Linked DNA regions of Arabidopsis thaliana. The protein of the gene in region 3 purifies or fractionates together with the protein of the main gene of each other region. This does not show direct contact. Each region holds a gene or a part of one and is shown on either strand. Other genes may lie near its edges.

The links. Proteins that work in one complex are often made in the same cells at the same time.
Region 1: the proteins of GRF10 (region 3) and AHA10 purify together in Arabidopsis thaliana (affinity purification with mass spectrometry, with the first as the bait; one study listed by BioGRID). This does not show direct contact.
Region 2: the proteins of GRF10 (region 3) and AT3G58610 purify together in Arabidopsis thaliana (affinity purification with mass spectrometry, with the first as the bait; one study listed by BioGRID). This does not show direct contact.

What each region holds. Positions count from the first base shown.
Region 1 is NC_003070.9:5,902,312-5,909,398, forward strand, and holds AHA10 (autoinhibited H[+]-ATPase), read left to right. Parts: upstream 1-1,746; coding exon 1,747-1,812; intron 1,813-1,899; coding exon 1,900-2,019; intron 2,020-2,106; coding exon 2,107-2,205; intron 2,206-2,294; coding exon 2,295-2,432; intron 2,433-2,528; coding exon 2,529-2,663; intron 2,664-2,753; coding exon 2,754-2,933; intron 2,934-3,031; coding exon 3,032-3,238; intron 3,239-3,339; coding exon 3,340-3,459; intron 3,460-3,580; coding exon 3,581-3,700; intron 3,701-3,788; coding exon 3,789-3,911; intron 3,912-4,024; coding exon 4,025-4,129; intron 4,130-4,254; coding exon 4,255-4,399; intron 4,400-4,513; coding exon 4,514-4,675; intron 4,676-4,764; coding exon 4,765-5,003; intron 5,004-5,165; coding exon 5,166-5,198; intron 5,199-5,289; coding exon 5,290-5,371; intron 5,372-5,454; coding exon 5,455-5,615; intron 5,616-5,697; coding exon 5,698-5,871; intron 5,872-5,965; coding exon 5,966-6,148; intron 6,149-6,248; coding exon 6,249-6,403; and 3 more. Other genes in the region: RLP3 (receptor like protein 3), read right to left, coding at 1-1,128. UniProt on the Arabidopsis thaliana protein: The plasma membrane H(+) ATPase of plants and fungi generates a proton gradient that drives the active transport of nutrients by H(+)-symport. The resulting external acidification and/or internal alkinization may mediate growth responses.
Region 2 is NC_003074.8:21,669,783-21,675,590, reverse strand, and holds AT3G58610 (ketol-acid reductoisomerase), read right to left. Parts: upstream 4,159-5,808; 5' UTR 4,031-4,158; coding exon 3,734-4,030; intron 3,611-3,733; coding exon 3,518-3,610; intron 3,249-3,517; coding exon 3,183-3,248; intron 3,077-3,182; coding exon 2,936-3,076; intron 2,842-2,935; coding exon 2,614-2,841; intron 2,510-2,613; coding exon 2,392-2,509; intron 2,313-2,391; coding exon 2,173-2,312; intron 2,080-2,172; coding exon 1,912-2,079; intron 1,824-1,911; coding exon 1,668-1,823; intron 1,321-1,667; coding exon 952-1,320; 3' UTR 860-951; exon of another isoform or gene 706-859; intron 638-705; 3' UTR 501-637; downstream 1-500. Other genes in the region: AT3G58600 (Adaptin ear-binding coat-associated protein 1 NECAP-1), read left to right, coding at 4,592-4,729, 5,406-5,437, 5,773-5,808.
Region 3 is NC_003070.9:7,878,220-7,883,198, forward strand, and holds GRF10 (general regulatory factor 10), read right to left. Parts: upstream 3,177-4,979; 5' UTR 2,885-3,176; coding exon 2,818-2,884; intron 2,466-2,817; coding exon 2,159-2,465; intron 1,952-2,158; coding exon 1,864-1,951; intron 1,757-1,863; coding exon 1,647-1,756; intron 1,566-1,646; coding exon 1,417-1,565; coding exon of another isoform or gene 1,382-1,416; exon of another isoform or gene 1,069-1,381; coding exon 1,031-1,068; coding exon of another isoform or gene 1,025-1,030; exon of another isoform or gene 1,006-1,024; intron 933-1,005; coding exon 927-932; 3' UTR 540-926; downstream 1-539. Other genes in the region: MBD8 (methyl-CPG-binding domain 8), read right to left, coding at 3,495-3,960, 4,317-4,979. UniProt on the Arabidopsis thaliana protein: Is associated with a DNA binding complex that binds to the G box, a well-characterized cis-acting DNA regulatory element found in plant genes.

The DNA.
Region 1 (7,087 bases), 2.0 Mb from region 3:
AATGCTAAGGCTCTGAAAGCGGGAAAAGTCAAGCTCTGATAAGGTTCCTTCCAGCCGATTAAGCCTCAGATTCAACTTGACGAGATTAGTACAATTTGCAAGAGAAGGCGGGACTGTACCAGTGATGTTATTGATATGGAGTTGGAGGCTTTGCAGGCGAGAGAGCTGACCTATGTCCATTGGTATTTCTCCTCCAAGGTGATTGGAGTACAGCTCGAGCGATTTTAGTTTTGTGAGGTGGGTGATGTCATCATTGATCTTTCCAGAAAGATGATTGACGGGTAGAAAGAGTTGCTCGAGCTCCGAAAGATTGTATATGTCACTTGGGATTTCACCAGAGATATTGTTGAAGCCTGCTTGTAGAACACTTAGCTTCAAACATCTCCCTAGTCCTTGCGGAATATTACCGGTAAAATCATTGTAGGAGAAATCCAGTTTGCTGAGCTGCGGTGAACTCTTGCACATAAACGAAGGGATTGAGCCTGTGAAGCTGTTCTTGCTGACATTGAAACTGATTAAATCGAAAGTTCCTTGCATAAAAATAGAACTAGGGAGGATTTCGCCTTGGAGAAAATTGCTTGACAGATCAACTATCCGAATTGGGAAACATCTGTTGCTTCCATTTCTAAATGTTTGTTCAACTGGCAACTCACCATCGAGGCTGTTGTAACTAAGATCAAGAACTTTGAGCTGATCAAGGGCTGAGAGAAAGCCAGATGGGAGATGACCGGAGAGACGGTTATGAGAAAGATTGAGTTGAGAGAGATGGTGGAGACGCAGAACAGACAAAGGGAGTTTACCATATAGTGCTCTAAAGGGCAATGAGATTGCAGTGATGTGGCTATCCGGGGAATCATCGCAGGTTATTCCTTCCCATGAGCAACAATCAATGGATGGGTTCCAATTCAGAGGAGAAACAGAAGAAGAAACGTTTCCAGAGAACCACAGTAGGGATTCTCGATCTTGCGAGTTGCAGAGAGCCTCTGAAACTGCAATAGAAAGGACACTGATGAAAAGAACACACTGAAGGAGTATGCCAATCATGTGAAAACTCAGAGCTTGTATTGGTCTTGTGGTTGATGAAGTTCTCACAAAACCTTTGGCTTTGAATCTCCCCTCATTAGTCATGGTGAGAACAAGAACAAGACGAGAAACAGACAAAGAAGATGAAAAAACTTGTTGGCCAGTGTTGACTAAGGGGGAATAGCCCAGACATAACAAAATTAGACTTGTCGTACATCTTTAATATTTTTTTTATCTGTTTCTTTGTCCTGACGCTTTCATTATTCCTGTGATCAATTTTCTCATACCATTGGTCCATCGTTAATCCTTTCTCAATTTCATTTTCTACGTAACATGAGAGGAGACCAAGTCCTATGAGAACAGTTGACGTAACAGTGGTTGTTAAGTTAAGTTAAAAAGAGGAAGCTAGTGAGAGTGACCGTTAGGTAGAGAAGTGAGATCTTTAACCACTCTTCTTTCTCTCTCTCTCTGCTTTTTTCGTCGTCTTTCACATCTACTGTTCGCAAACTCTCTTATGCTTCCAATAATGGTGATACCAATTGAGACTTGCAGGAGAATCTCCTCTTCTCCACACTCTATCAACTGGTCAGCCATGGAATGGTCGTTTCAGTTTCAATATTCCTGGATTCTTTTTAAGGATTCCTGTTTCTCTTCTGTTCCTGGTATATTCTTAACGACGAAATTAGTATCGGATCCTGGTAATACATTTTGAAGCTTTTAAGTATGGCCGAGGATTTGGACAAGCCATTGCTGGATCCTGATACTTTCAACAGAAAAGGAATTGATTTGGTAAATGTTCCTTTTAACTGTATACTCTTATTAGTACTTGAATTCTTAGTGGCAAAAAAGGGTTTTGACCCTTCTTGAGCTTGACAGGGTATATTGCCGTTGGAGGAGGTTTTTGAATACCTAAGAACATCGCCTCAAGGGCTTTTATCTGGAGATGCTGAAGAGAGATTGAAGATATTTGGTCCTAACAGACTTGAAGAGAAACAGGTAATAAACATGACATTCTTCTTAGTGTTCCTGCCAATTGTCTCTATTATCTTGTGCTAACCGCCATTTAAAACAACAATGATACAGGAGAACAGATTTGTGAAATTCTTAGGTTTTATGTGGAATCCCTTGTCATGGGTTATGGAAGCTGCTGCATTGATGGCCATTGCCCTCGCTAATAGTCAAGTAAGACAACCACAGTTTTGCTACCATTTTCCATCCATGAGTGTTTATGAAAAAGCACCTTGAAACTCATGGTGAAAATGGTATTACAGAGTCTAGGTCCTGACTGGGAAGACTTTACTGGAATCGTTTGCCTTTTGCTGATCAACGCAACAATCAGCTTCTTTGAAGAAAACAATGCTGGGAATGCTGCTGCAGCTCTTATGGCTCGCTTGGCTTTAAAAACAAGAGTATGGCTCTTAACCTTCCTATGAGCCGAAACGGCAAAGTTAGCTGCACTTTAATTTCTATATTACCTTAAATTTGATTTAGATCCACTCTTATAGGTTCTTAGAGATGGACAGTGGCAAGAACAAGATGCTTCTATCTTGGTACCTGGTGATATAATTAGCATTAAGCTTGGGGATATCATTCCTGCAGATGCTCGCCTTCTTGAAGGAGACCCCTTGAAGATTGATCAGGTACGTCCAGAATATCTAGTCTCTATTCTTTTAGTGTGTACTATGTAAAGACTTTCTCTGACAGAATAGTTAAAACATTTATTCCTGCAGTCAGTGCTGACCGGAGAATCACTACCTGTGACCAAGAAGAAGGGTGAACAGGTCTTTTCTGGCTCTACTTGTAAACAAGGTGAAATAGAAGCTGTTGTGATAGCAACTGGATCGACCACCTTCTTTGGAAAAACAGCACGCTTGGTGGACAGTACAGATGTAACTGGACATTTTCAGCAGGTTTTCCTTCTTTCTTTCCCTTTTGGTTGGATAGAACCTGATTAGTGAACTTGGAATCTGGAAAAACCGAATGTAGTCTTTGACATGTTTTCTTCTAGGTTCTTACATCGATTGGAAACTTCTGCATTTGCTCCATTGCTGTTGGAATGGTTCTTGAAATCATTATCATGTTCCCTGTACAACATCGCTCTTACAGAATTGGGATCAATAATCTTCTTGTACTACTGATTGGAGGGATACCCATTGCCATGCCCACTGTACTATCTGTAACGCTTGCCATTGGATCTCATCGACTTTCACAACAGGTACATCCCACTTTAAGCTGCTGAATGCAAAAGGAAGTCCTTTGTTTGTTATTCTTTAAAACAGTTTGTTAGCAATAATCTGTTTCTTCATGTTCTCTAAGGGTGCCATTACGAAAAGAATGACCGCAATAGAGGAAATGGCTGGGATGGATGTACTCTGCTGTGATAAAACTGGAACCCTTACTTTGAACAGTCTTACCGTTGATAAAAATCTTATTGAGGTACCAATACTACAGATGCGACTTGAATTTCATCAAACAATACTGTTAAGAACAGTTGCCTCCTTCTTCATCGTCTTGTTCTCTATTGTTGGTGTTTAAATGTACAAATCCTTCTGCACAGGTATTCGTTGACTACATGGACAAGGATACAATTTTGTTGCTTGCAGGCCGAGCTTCACGACTAGAAAATCAGGATGCTATAGATGCAGCCATTGTTAGCATGCTTGCAGATCCCAGAGAGGTAGAGATGTTTCTCTAACATGAACTCTCTTTTATAAGACTATCACCTTCTTAGAAGTTTTTCTCATACAAAGGTTGTTTATCTGTAGGCACGTGCAAACATTAGAGAAATCCATTTCTTACCATTCAATCCTGTGGACAAACGTACTGCAATAACGTATATTGATTCCGATGGAAAATGGTATCGTGCTACCAAAGGTGCTCCTGAACAGGTATGTATTCTTAGCACTACCAAACTGACTCTAGTTGTAAAAATTTAGTGAATTTTTTTGTACTGTTTCCATGAAAGAAATACCATCACTAATACAACTGCACTATATTATAGGTTCTAAACTTGTGTCAGCAGAAAAATGAGATTGCGCAAAGAGTTTATGCCATCATTGATAGATTTGCAGAAAAAGGTTTGAGGTCTCTTGCGGTTGCTTATCAGGTAACATCATTGTCCTCTCCCTTTCTCTCTTGAGCTGGTTTTATCATAAGTGTACTTTTGAAGAAGAACGTTATGATGACATTAATTACTCCAATTCATTGCATCATTTAAATAATTGTTTCTAGGAAATTCCAGAGAAAAGCAACAACAGTCCTGGAGGACCATGGAGGTTCTGTGGTCTGTTGCCACTGTTTGATCCCCCAAGGCATGATAGCGGTGAAACCATCCTTAGAGCTCTTAGCCTGGGAGTTTGCGTTAAGATGATCACTGGTAAATCTTAACCTTTAGCTTGGTAGGCTTGGCCCGACAGAGAAACACATATACCCTTGTGAGTAAACGGTAAAACTCTGGGAAAATGAATGATAAGTTTGGAACCACATGTAGGTGATCAATTGGCGATTGCAAAGGAGACAGGCAGACGTCTTGGAATGGGAACCAACATGTATCCTTCTTCCTCTTTGTTAGGCCACAACAATGATGAGCATGAAGCCATTCCAGTGGATGAGCTAATTGAAATGGCAGATGGATTTGCTGGAGTTTTCCCTGGTCATATTCTAACACAACCTTAGTACCTACGAAATTTAAGATTTGCTCTCATTTCTAATCCCAAATTTTTTTTGTCTCTCATGTTACAGAACATAAGTATGAGATTGTAAAGATTTTACAAGAAATGAAGCATGTGGTTGGAATGACCGGAGATGGTGTGAATGATGCTCCTGCTCTCAAAAAAGCTGACATCGGAATAGCTGTCGCAGATGCAACAGATGCTGCAAGAAGTTCTGCTGACATAGTACTAACTGATCCCGGCTTAAGTGTAATTATCAGTGCTGTCTTGACCAGCAGAGCCATTTTCCAGCGGATGAGGAACTATACAGTAAGTACTAAAGTTATAGTTATACTACTATCATCTGATCCCTGATAGCTAAAGAAATGAAAAATCATATAATATAGGATATGGATTTCAAGTAGCCTGATGACATTCTCAACTAGCTTATGTTTTTCTCTGAATTACCGACTAATCAGTACGAATCTGCAGGTATATGCAGTCTCTATCACCATACGCATAGTGGTAAGGAGCTTCATGATACATGATCTAACTCATGTTAGTTAAGTTACATCAACTTACTTGAACTTTCTCTTCTTGACATTGTTTCATGCAGCTTGGTTTTACACTTTTAGCGTTGATATGGGAATACGACTTCCCACCTTTCATGGTTCTGATAATCGCAATACTCAATGACGGTAATCTCTTAATCAATAGCTTCATATTGATGTAACCTAATTTTTATCACTTTCAAACGCTATGTTTATCTCCTACGCATCAGGGACTATCATGACTATTTCTAAAGATCGAGTTAGGCCATCTCCTACACCCGAGAGTTGGAAGCTCAACCAGATATTTGCGACAGGAATTGTCATTGGAACATATCTAGCATTGGTCACCGTCCTGTTTTACTGGATCATTGTTTCTACCACCTTCTTCGAGGTATCTTCCTATCACTCAAAGTAAGTTAGATTTTGCTTACCGAGAAGAATGCATACCGGTGACCAATCTTTAATGGCTGCAGAAACACTTCCATGTAAAATCAATTGCCAACAACAGTGAACAAGTGTCATCCGCGATGTATCTCCAAGTGAGCATCATCAGTCAGGCACTCATATTTGTAACACGTAGTCGAGGCTGGTCATTTTTTGAACGTCCCGGGACTCTCCTGATTTTTGCCTTCATTCTTGCTCAACTTGTACGAATTCCCCATACTTCGCATTTTTTCCATCACAGAATGCTATATAGCACACATAGGTCGTGATATTGACTTGTCCATTTCATGTACACAGGCGGCTACATTAATTGCTGTGTATGCCAACATCAGCTTTGCTAAAATCACCGGCATTGGATGGAGATGGGCAGGTGTTATATGGTTATACAGTCTGATATTTTACATACCTCTAGATGTTATAAAGTTTGTCTTTCACTACGCATTGAGTGGAGAAGCTTGGAATCTCGTATTGGACCGTAAGGTTGGTACATGTCCTGTGTCTCTTGTCCTCTGCTTGTTAGTCAGTCTCACACTTAAACTATGCATTTTCTTGAAGATGAGACCGTTGGTTTGTCTTGCAGACAGCTTTTACTTACAAGAAAGATTATGGGAAAGATGATGGATCGCCCAATGTAACCATCTCTCAGAGAAGTCGTTCCGCAGAAGAACTCAGAGGAAGCCGTTCTCGCGCTTCTTGGATCGCTGAACAAACCAGGAGGCGTGCAGAAATCGCCAGGTTCTCTTTTTATCTATACCCCGTTTTGGGTATTCTCTTCCATTTTCACATACTACCAAAATAACTATATTGTTTTTCATTTGGTAGGCTTCTAGAGGTTCATTCAGTGTCAAGGCATTTAGAATCTGTGATCAAACTCAAACAAATTGACCAAAGGATGATCCGTGCAGCTCATACTGTCTAAAACACTCTCTTAGTTTTTCCCTATCTCAAAATTTACATAAAGAGGAATCGAACAATGTTGTGTTCCTCAGAGAAGTAAAAACAATATTTAGAGCATTCATATGATCTGTAGTCTGTAATGTAGTCTTGTTTTCCGGTGACAGCAGAAATTTCACCTGATATGCTCTGCTGAGATCAATTGTAGGCCATATATGTCGGTGTTTCACTGAACCTGTGATCATTGTTCATCACTTTGGTTAAATTGAAAAATCACCACTTTTATTTCCTGTGTAATCGAATATTTACTCTCTTGTTTTCAATTATTACTAATTTAGTCCACATTCCGTGTTGAATAAATCTTGGTTTATAATTACTTGTTTCAAAAGCAATCAAGCTGTTCTTATAGAACACAAAATTCTCAAGCAAATAAACTATATTTCACCGACAAAATTCACAAAACCGTCGGAAAAGAATCAAACGAATTTGACATTAAACCACCTACTATAATACAGGTAAAGAAGA
Region 2 (5,808 bases), on a different chromosome or scaffold from region 3:
TTTTAGGATAAATGAACATGAAATGTGGGAAAAGAGCAATACAGTATGATTGGCTACACATGTTGGTCTTGTCTTTCTCTAATTCTTGAGCCACACTATCATATGATTGCAGAATTTTTATTTATTAATTAATTCAGATTCTCTTGGTTCTCTGTTTCTTTTCCTTTTCTCAAGCATTGTGGATTTATCTCTCTCTCTTTTTTTCTTCTTTTTTTGATTTTACAAGGAAAGGGAAAAAGACTTGACATATAATGCAAAATGTGCAGAGGGAGAGGGAGAGCACATGTCATTACATGTGATTCTAATAATTTAGATTCTTCATTTCTCAGTAAAAAGAGAGACAAAAGCATTATGCTCTGCCAATTTTTTCTTCTTTATCTTTAGTTTTGAAAAGAAAGAAAACACACACACACACACACACACAAATGATTTTTCCTTGTAATAATAATATAATTGAAGTTGGAGAGTGACTACATATATTCAATCTATCTGGCATTTGTAAAAAACTTATCTCTTTATTCTATATTCAATCATTCAACATAGCAACATACTATTTTTGACCCAACAAAAGTAGCATTACACACTATTATATCCTAAAAGTATCCTAAATGTTGCAAGATTAACGCAGACATATAAACTTCATCAAATCCTAAACTCTCGATACTGGTTCCTTCTTTAACTCTCAAGCGTCTCTAATCCCAGTTCAGTTACTGAAATTGACAATACACAATTCTAGACAAAATTAAGTTGAAAGTTTGCAAATGTTGTTACGAAAATAGTTAAAGCGAAATTTCGTTAAACTATTTTATTGATTTAAGTAGATTTTAAGACCAAAGCAAAGAGACATAATCCTTCAAACAAAACAAACAGTCACGCCTAAGAAAACATCACAAACTCTCGACTTAATACTCCGATTACAAATAAGAGACTGACAAACTTTCAACCCTTCACTCAGTTGCTAGATTGACGCAACTCAGGTCGAACAAAGTCTGCATCAGCAGGCACAGAGATATCAACGGTAGGCCTGAGCTGTGCGCAGACCTCAATGGCACCATGGACTGGATCAGAGAAGAAGTTACTGATTAGGTCTCTGTTGATTGCTGCACCACTGTCCACAGCCACAAGAGCTTGTTGGGTCAGGATGTAGTCAAACCGTGGCGCCCATTTCCTCGAACCCAATCTTGCTGTGGTTGAGCAGTTGTCAACCATGAAGGACACTCCCCTGGCGTGCATAAATGGGTTTAGAGAGTCCACGGATTCAATCACACTCTCGTTGATGATTTCTGAGTAAGAGTGACCTTTCTTCCTCAAGATCTCAATCTACACAAATCCACATAGAAACCACGATGATTTAGATTCTAAGAAATCACTGAAAATTGATAGCATATTAAATTCTAGGGGTTGTCCAATGCGGCTAATTCGAACTAAAACCATACAAAAAAGAATTCAAAATTGAATACAAAACAGATCGATATCACAATTTCTCTGAAACAAAATGGAAGTAAGAAGAATCCAATTAGACTATACAAACCTATTGCAATGACAAAAATATTCCAATTAGAGGTATATTTTCTAAAATCTGAACGGAAATTGAAACCGACTCTACATTGCATAAACCGAAAAATCCAAAGCAAAGGTGGGCACACCAGATATAAACATAGACATACCTGAGCCATCATAAGTGCTACATAAACTCCAGCGGTGAAGGGATACAATGGACCCAAGTCACCAGCAGGTCTGGACTTCCTGACGCGTTCACCCACCTTCCACATTCTTGTCTGGTCAATATTTCCCATAGGGAATGCTGGCAAGCCTTCCTTTTCCTGTTATAAGTAAGAGAATCCATCAAAACTCCTGCACAAACTGTGTTTGGGTAATTGTAACAAAAGGAAGATTCGGAAGAGTCATTACATAGAAGCGACGACCGGCTAAGACAACACTTCGGATTTCGCTGCCACTTTGTACATCCTCGTAACATTCATAGAGAATCTCCATACAAGGATAGAAGGATGCGCTGTATGCAGTCTCAAAATCTTTTTTACCTTCTTCAGACAAGGAGTTGTACACAGCCAACATTCCCTGATGTTCACAATTCATTAGAAACAGGTTTTAAATTTTTATATTTGGCTAAAAACGAATTAGTCTGTTCTCTACAGATATCTTCCTACTAACCTGGGTAGAGATAGTCCTTGAAATTGTTCCTGTGATGCATTCTACTGTGTTCTTGTAAGCCAAGTCTTCACTCATCCCATTTTCGGTGTATCTTCTAAACAGAGACTCCACGATTCCGTGAACAGCACCAAGCAAAATTCCTTTTAACAAAAAAGAAGAAGATATGTAAGTATGGGATTGAGTGATATAAAGACAGGTCTAAAAGGGGATCAAACTCACCTCTTTCTCCAAAGATGTCACTCCTGTACTCCTGTTCAAGAGTAGTAGCAAAAGTAAACGGAGAACCAAGTGCTACTGACCATCCCAATGCAACATCGGCGGCTCTACCGTCAACATCCTGCCAACAGAATAGCAGAAATAGTGGTGAAAAAATGAACACATGAGGTATAAGAGCTTTTCAGTAAAGATAGCTTTTGCAGTAGAGATAAAGAGATAGAAAACCTGGTGGACTGCAAAACTGGCGTTGATTCCAGCACCGTTAATTTCTTTTCCTTGGACGTAAAGCCTCCTCACAGAAGGACCCATTCCCTTAGGGCATACAGCGACCACACTGATGTTCTTTGGGAAATCGAGTCCCGAGGACTGTAAATGCCCTAGTAGAAACCCGTGTGATAAACCAAGAATGCTGTTTGGCTTCATGTGAGAGAATATTTTCTCATAGTTATCAGCCTGCAAAAACAGGATAGAATAAAATCGATGTATACACCTTAGGACTAATACCTCAACAAGTAGTAGTGGAAATATATAACAAAAGTGCACTTACTTGAGCAGCATCAGAGATCAAAAGCAATACAAGATCACTGCCAGCGATAGTTTCCCATATATCACCCAAAGTACCACTTTCTTCAGTGAAGCCAGCAGCACGTGCCTCCTCAAATGAGCGAGACCCTTTTCTGAGACCAATCTACGTAATAGTATATTAAAACGAAAACAAAGTCAGAACAGAGCCTTCACGTAACAACAGAAAGCAAACAAATACAAGTATGAAGCCAACTCTGCAGTTGAAATACCTTGACAACAATGTCAGACTTTGCCTCCACAAGTGAATCCCTTAAATTCTGAGCCTGGGCAGGTCCCTGCATATATAGATAAAGCGTTTATTACAAGAGAAGAGATGCTGAATAAAAAGAATATGAAACAATATATTAATCTTGTTCATTCCACCAACTCAAATGCATCAAAAGTATGAAAATGAAAACACTTTATTCATATCCTTTTTCTGACCAATTTCGTATCACAACACAGAACCAAGATTCCTTATTCGCAATCCAACGTAAGCAATTTAAAAAGCAATCAAACAAGAAGCACAGTAGCTACAGATAAAGAGACCAAAAAAGGTAAGTACCTGAGATCCCCAGCCAATCACACCAATCTGCTTAATCCCCTTGAAAGCATCTGGGAGATGCTTGAACAAGTCTCTTCCTCCTCTCACAATGTACTAAAACAAAGATCAGCAGAAACCAAACATTAGCAACAACTAACAAAATCAATACACATCAAAATGATTATAGAATAAGCACAAATTAGAACAGAAATGAATAAGAGGGTAAATGAGATAAACCTCTTCGTAACCAGCAAGAGAAACTTTCTCCTTTTTGAAGACAGATGTCTCAAAATCGAGAGAAACAGGGGCTTTGACCGCAGACGAAGAAACCATGCGAGCGGCAAGGGAGGATCCAGTGGCGCCATTTCCAGCGACGGTGGCAGTAAGCGACCTCAGAGACTTGGAAGAAGACGAGAGGAAACCGATATTGGGTAGAGCCAAGGTTCTGGCTTTGGAAGACCAAAGGGTTTTGGATGAAGAAGAAGGAGATGGGCATGAAAGAGAAGGAGCGATGGATGAAGTAGCCGCCGCCATTTTCTAAGTTGTAGCAAATTGACTGCGCAAAGAGAAGAGAGCTCACAAATTAGGGTCGCAGAGTCAGTGTGAGAGAAGTTAATAAGCGCACACAGTTTACCTACTCATCACCACCAAGAGACAGATATGAGAAAAATAAAATAAAACAAATCCATGTATTTATAATGGGCCTAGGCCTATTAGTTTAAAAGGCCCATTAAAGTAAATGTGGACGTTCTTTCTATTGGTTGGTGTTGGTCCATCAACTGCTTCAATGTTGACTTCCCAGCGGTGGAGGATACATAGGTGTCTAGTCTATATCAGGGTTTCAAAGTCAACGTAATAGACGGTTCAGATTTAACAGAGGTAGCTTAGATCTGATGGTTTTGAAGTAGCTCAGATTGAAGTAATGGTATACACTACACACACCTAACGCGAAACCTCTACGTTTCTTCGTCTTCGCGACTCGTGAGATTGTTGTAATCACAGTTCGGGAAAGACTTAACATTTAAGATTTACGGGTTTGTTTGATCGATTAGTCTCATCTGGGTTTTTCTCCAAGTTAAATTCTTTGTTTCTGAGATGGATCAAGCTTCGTCTTCTTCGACTATGGAGGAAGACAAGAAGTCTTCCACTGATCCTGTGAATGTCGATGATAACGAGGAGAGAGAAGCTATAGAGATTGCTCTGTTCCAAGTGCCTGAATGCTATGTTTATTTGGTAACTTTTCTTGGCTTATCATGAGATGTGATTTTATAATTTTTGATGAGTTTTGTGTCTTTTATGCTCAAGTTACATCCTTTCTTTGCAAGTTCACTTGGTGATTTTAGGAGATGTTTTGGATCTGATAATTAGTTATAACGTAAATTCAATCTGGTGTTATAGATTTCTTGCAATGGTATTGAGGAAGTTGTCTTAATTTGCATATGTTGAAAACTTGACGTTGAGTCTTGATCACTCGAAATTTTGTTTGGATTTGCAATGGTGATCGATTGCACATGTAACTATCAGCGAAAAATCTTTTCAAGGAGATTTCGTATGATAGATTCAAGGCTTGTGATAAAAGAGTACATTAATTTTAACCAATATCATGCTAAGTGATATCTTGATGGGGTCTCTCTGAAATCATACTAGCTTTTGAGATACTCGTGAAATTGTTACATGGTCATTGTGTTATAGGATGTATGAGATTCCAAATTGGCTACCTTGATGAAATCATAGACATTGTGAACTGTTGTTATTTAGGTTTAACTATAAAATTCTCATTCGTAATGGACAACATTGGAGCTTGATGTATCAATGTTATTTTATCGTTTATGCTTTCTTCTGTGTCTGTTACTTTACGGGGATGCTAGGCAAAGTAACCTCTTCATTGTCTTTTTGTTTGTGTATGCAGATACCTCCAAGGAAAACCGCAGCTTCGTACAGGTTCTTTCTTACCTTTATGATAGAAACAGTCATTCTGATATATGTAGTTAGGAGATTTTTACAAAACCCCTTTTCCCGATAAACCCTTCGGCTTAGCAAATGATCAGAAACTCGGAACGAATCTTATTGAACCAATCGTGAAGTATGTATGACTATGAATGGTAGCTTAACCTTAATTTGCATCAAGATGGTCATTATCTAGTTACATTCGCTTTGTATCAACTCAACTTGGCTTCTTTGGTAAAAGATACTTGAAAAAGTGCATCAAGTAATCCATTGGAAGATGGAGATAGACATCAGCTGATACTTTTTTTGTATAAATTTTATCCTTGCAGAGCAGATGAGTGGGACGTGAACAAATGGGCATGGGA
Region 3 (4,979 bases):
AACAACTCACCTAAAGAATTTAGAAGTTGGGCCAAGTGAATACTTGAATTGATCATTTGTAGCTCAAAATTGAAGTTTTCGATAGATGTATGAAATTATTATTCATTGGACATATAAAAATATTAAAGAAAACACTACAAAATCTCTCGAGGGAAGTGGTCAATTCGTGACAAAAATGTTATTTAGATGGTTGACAAAAAGATATCTGATTCTATAAGGATTAACTGGTTCACAGTTTGATTAACATGTTTTAGACTTTGAGGGCTCTCGATTGGATTAGACACAATGAGTGTTGGTACGAGTTAGAGAGTTTGTGATAGCATTTGGTTACAATTACAACTTACAAGAGTCCCATATTTAGAGCATAGAGATCCTTTTTGAGGGTCATGTTGGGAGAACCAAACCATTATTATGTCACACACTTACGGACCAAACCACCGTAGAGAAACACACTTGAGGATGATTCCTTGGCCACAAAGAGGGCAAACATCCACAAATTGAAAAGTTGTGAAGTTTGGGATCACTTATGCAAATTATTAAGAGCCTCTTGAATTCAGACTTTCATGATTTTTGCAAGGAGTTATTAGTTATTACAAACTTCGAATAAAGCTTTGTCTGTTTTGGTTTTTAATTTTGAGACCATGATACGCCTAATATTCTGATAAACAAAAACCCAAATCATGCCTGCTGGCTCAATTCAACAACAAAAGAAGCAAACTAAGCGTAAAACAGAATTCAACCACATCATAAGAGGGTTGAAGATACGCAACGCAGTGTTGTGTTGTGAAAAGTTCAAGAATCTGGAAAACACCATCAAGAAAGACATAGATTAAAAATTACACATTCGAGTAACAAACAACGACACTTACTGTCTTCACTTCAAGATTCAGGATGCAGCAAGAGTCGTTTCTCTTCTCACAGAGGATTTAGTTCTGCAATGATTCAGTAATTCCATGAGTGGTCTAATTGTCAATGCAAAATGGAAAAATCAGTAAGTAGCTTAACTTATAACAAAACTGGCTTTTCATACCTCATCTTGAGGCTCATCAGCACCTTTGGTTCTCTCATCTAAGAGGGGAAAAAAAAAAGGTGAGTGAAAAAGCTTTGGAAGAGAAACAAGAAACTAGTAATGTTTTCTGCTACAAACATATAACTTTTACAAGATTAGCTAGAATCCAATAACTATGAGATGGTAGATTGGTATGTTTTTTGTTGAGGCTTTCAAAACTAAAATGAAAGATCTACATAGCAATACATGCATAAAGGACGGTTTAATTCAAATATAGACAGATGGTTAATGGTTACGAGTTCCCAAACATCAACATTTTTACTCCAAGGTAACGCTCTTAACAGCTCATTTGATTCTAAGGAAACCATTTGATCATGAGATAGGGAAACAAAAGAAAATAAGAATACCTCCTTCCTCATTAAGGTCTGAAGTCCACAAGGTGAGATTGTCTCTAAGTAGCTGCATAATAAGAGTGCTGTCTTTGTATGATTCCTCGTTGAGGCTGTCAAGTTCAGCAATTGCATCATCGAATGCTTGCTTAGCCAATTGGCATGCGCTGTACAATACATAGTTTCATAGTGTCAGAAAATGACCACAGATTCCACTATTATGTTCAATCCAAAATACAAAAACAAACCTTTCGGGAGAGTTCAAGATCTCATAGTAGAAAACTGAAAAGTTCAACGCCAAGCCAAGTCTAACTGGATGTGTGGGTGCCAAACCATTCTCTGCAGCAGCAACAGCAGCCTACATTCCCAGTACGAAAAAAGCAAGACTTGTCTTAGGTTATTCCCAGCTCAAATATAAGAGGGGTGGCACAAAAATAAGAAAACAAATAAACATGATCAAAGGACCTTATATGCTTCAAGAGACTGATCTGCAGCTTCCTTGCGTTCAGCACCAGAACTGAACTCCGCAAGATAGCGATAGTAATCTCCTTTCCTACATAGAAAGAAAAAAAAACACGTAAAGTCAAAACAGTGAAACAAGGAAAAGTTCATGAATCATCATCATTTCAGGAAGAACACAAGCAAGAGTGGTAGCTATGTAATAACTTAAACATTTAACTTTAGTCAAACGGAAATGATCTCATTCTTAGTCACACAAATATCACATGAATGGTCAGAGTATAATAAAGATGACACTCACATTTTGTAGAAAAAGACAGTTGACTCCACAGCGTTAGACGATGGAATGAGATGCTTATCAATGACAGACAAGATGTCATTACAAACTTTAGCAAGCTCATCTTCAACTCTCTTACGATAATTCTTAAGCCTCTTGACATTTTCATCATTTCCCTTGGACTCTTCCTTCTGCTCAATGGAAGATAGTATTCTCCATGATGCTCTCCTTGCACCAATCACATTCTTGTACCCTACAGATACAAGATTCCTCTCTTCCACAGTTAGCTCCACATCAAGCTGAGCAACTTTCTTCATCGCCTCCACCATTTCTGCATCATCACCAACAAAAAAAAAATATCCGATCTTTGAATTTGCTTCCAAAAACGTAGATCTATTTCATTTTCATGCTAAGAGATTCGACAACAGTAAGTATAAAATTATATCAAGATAAGATCAAGAGTGATCAGAGTATCTAAACAACATTAAACAAGAAATTACTTAAAGGTCGCATCTAAAAGTCCAGATCAAGTAACAGCCCAGAAACATACAAATCGGTAAAGGGCTACAAAGAAAATCTATGGAAATGTAAAAACAATTTCGATCGGAGCAATAAAAGATCGGATTTTTTCAGAAACATGAACAAATCATTTTCTGAATAGAGATCCAGAAATCGGAAAATACCATCGTATCTTTCGGTTTGCTCGGAGAGCTTAGCCAAGTAAACCTGCTTTTCCCTCTCATTCTCCATAGTTTTTTCTTCTTCTTCTTCTTCTTCTTCCTTCTCTGTCTCTCTGAAGTCTGAATCAAAAATGGATGCTTTGATTTGATTGATTTCGAGATTAGTAGTAACCCTAGGATCCTCTCATAGTGGTATTATATCAGCCGTTGGATCTACTTTTTTTAGTCAACAAAACTCAGAAACATAAGTTTTATAAATTATAAAGTAGCCACAAAGGTTTAGTTTTTACACAGAAAGAACCTAAAACTAATATATGTTTCTTATTAAACCCCGATCTAGTCAATAACGTAAAAGGTTAACGACGCTGACCGTGATAAACGGAGAAAGACATGTCCTCTTGTCCATTATTTTAAGGGTTTGTGTTCTTTTCTATATTATATAACACAATCCAAATCATAGATTTTTTTTATGCCAATCCAAATCCAAATCCAAATCAATCACAGATTGAAACTCAAAGAAATTTTCTTTTGAAGAAAAAATTTGGTTTCTGTCAAATGTTTTGTACATGGCCCTTTCAAATTCTATATCCTGTAGTTAGCTACAACACGCTTTTAGTTTGCATAAAATATAAAATCTGAACTAGAATGAGAAAACAATTTGTTCCAGGTAAAAGAAATGGTCACTGAACTCGGTTGATTTGTGAGCTGAAATACTGTTGAAGCTCATTAGTCGTTGTCGGTAGGCTTTTCGTCATTTCTGAATTCGATAGAGTCGCCAAATTCTCCATGTTACCATCTCTTTTCTTCATATCATCGTCGTTGTCCTCAACTCCATTCAGAAAATCTGCATTATCATCTTTCTGCATCAGACTGGTTTTCACTCGATCTGCTTCATTGCCATTCTCTACGGCTTTTGCTTCCTCAAACACCTCACTGCTGGTTCTTCCACTCTCAAGGTACTGCATTGTCTCAGAGTCCATGGAATCAGAGTTACCTAGTAAAGATTCGTTAGCTATCACTGGTTGTTGTCCTAGAGTCTTGTTGTCAGATTGCAAGTAATAATGTTGGTTCTTGCTTGGGGATTCAAGAAGTGATCGTAGATATGTGGAGACTTCCTTGCAGGTTTCAAACTGTTGCCCATCAGGGCTATATAATCAAAAACAAAAGAGAAAATTTTCAGAATCCTGAACTAAAAGTGATAACAACAGCTAGAATCCTAGAACGGCAGAGAGTACACAAACGAACTATAAGCAATTTCAGTAGCAGCCCTTAATTCATGTAAACATCTTTTATCATGTTCAAGAAGATGGAGAAACAAACAAGAGGGACAATCAAAAGTCTAGCAGCAGAAACTAAAACATCATATACCAAATCCTATAAAACTATATCTTCAATAGTAACAAAGTGTTAGTTTTGCTATAACCAATTCCACAGCCAATACTAGGTCTATTTTATAATCCAACTAGAAACAGAACCAGTGAAGAACATAAACATTATTATACCTTATGTATCTGCGACAAGCCAGCAACAAATTGCTACCTTTCCTTTTGATGTAGAGCATAAGTCTCCATCCTCTAGGCAAGTATCCTCCATAATCACAAGCATTCACAACTTTCTTCTTCTTCCCTATATTCACCCATTCACCATTCAATTGTTCCAAGAAACCTAAGATCTCTTCCTTTGTCTTCAACCCAACGGTGATCCTCCTCAGCTCCTCTTCGTATGGATCCTCTGAAACACTAGCCAATGCAGAGAGATCCACAATTGTACCTTCTCTGTTCTCCAAGTTCACTACTAACTCTTCCTTATCAAACGCAGAAATATTCACAATTGCACTGTCTCTCTTCTCTAGGTTCATTATCTCTTCCTTATTCTTTGGAGGACGACCTCTCTTTCTCTTCACTGAATTTGAATCCAGGGAGATTCCTGAACTACCAACTCTACTCACCATTCCCAAATTGCTACTAGTTTTATCTACAAACACATACGTAGATGCTTCACCAGTTAAATCCAAAACCTCATTCTCTTCGCTAGGGTTCCGAATCTTCCTCGGCCGTCCACGCTTCCTCTTTATTTTATTCCCGGAGGTTCCCTGAATCAGAACGTTCTGAATCGAATCAAGATTAGGTCTCTGATAAACATAGCTGTTATAATGGATCTGACCT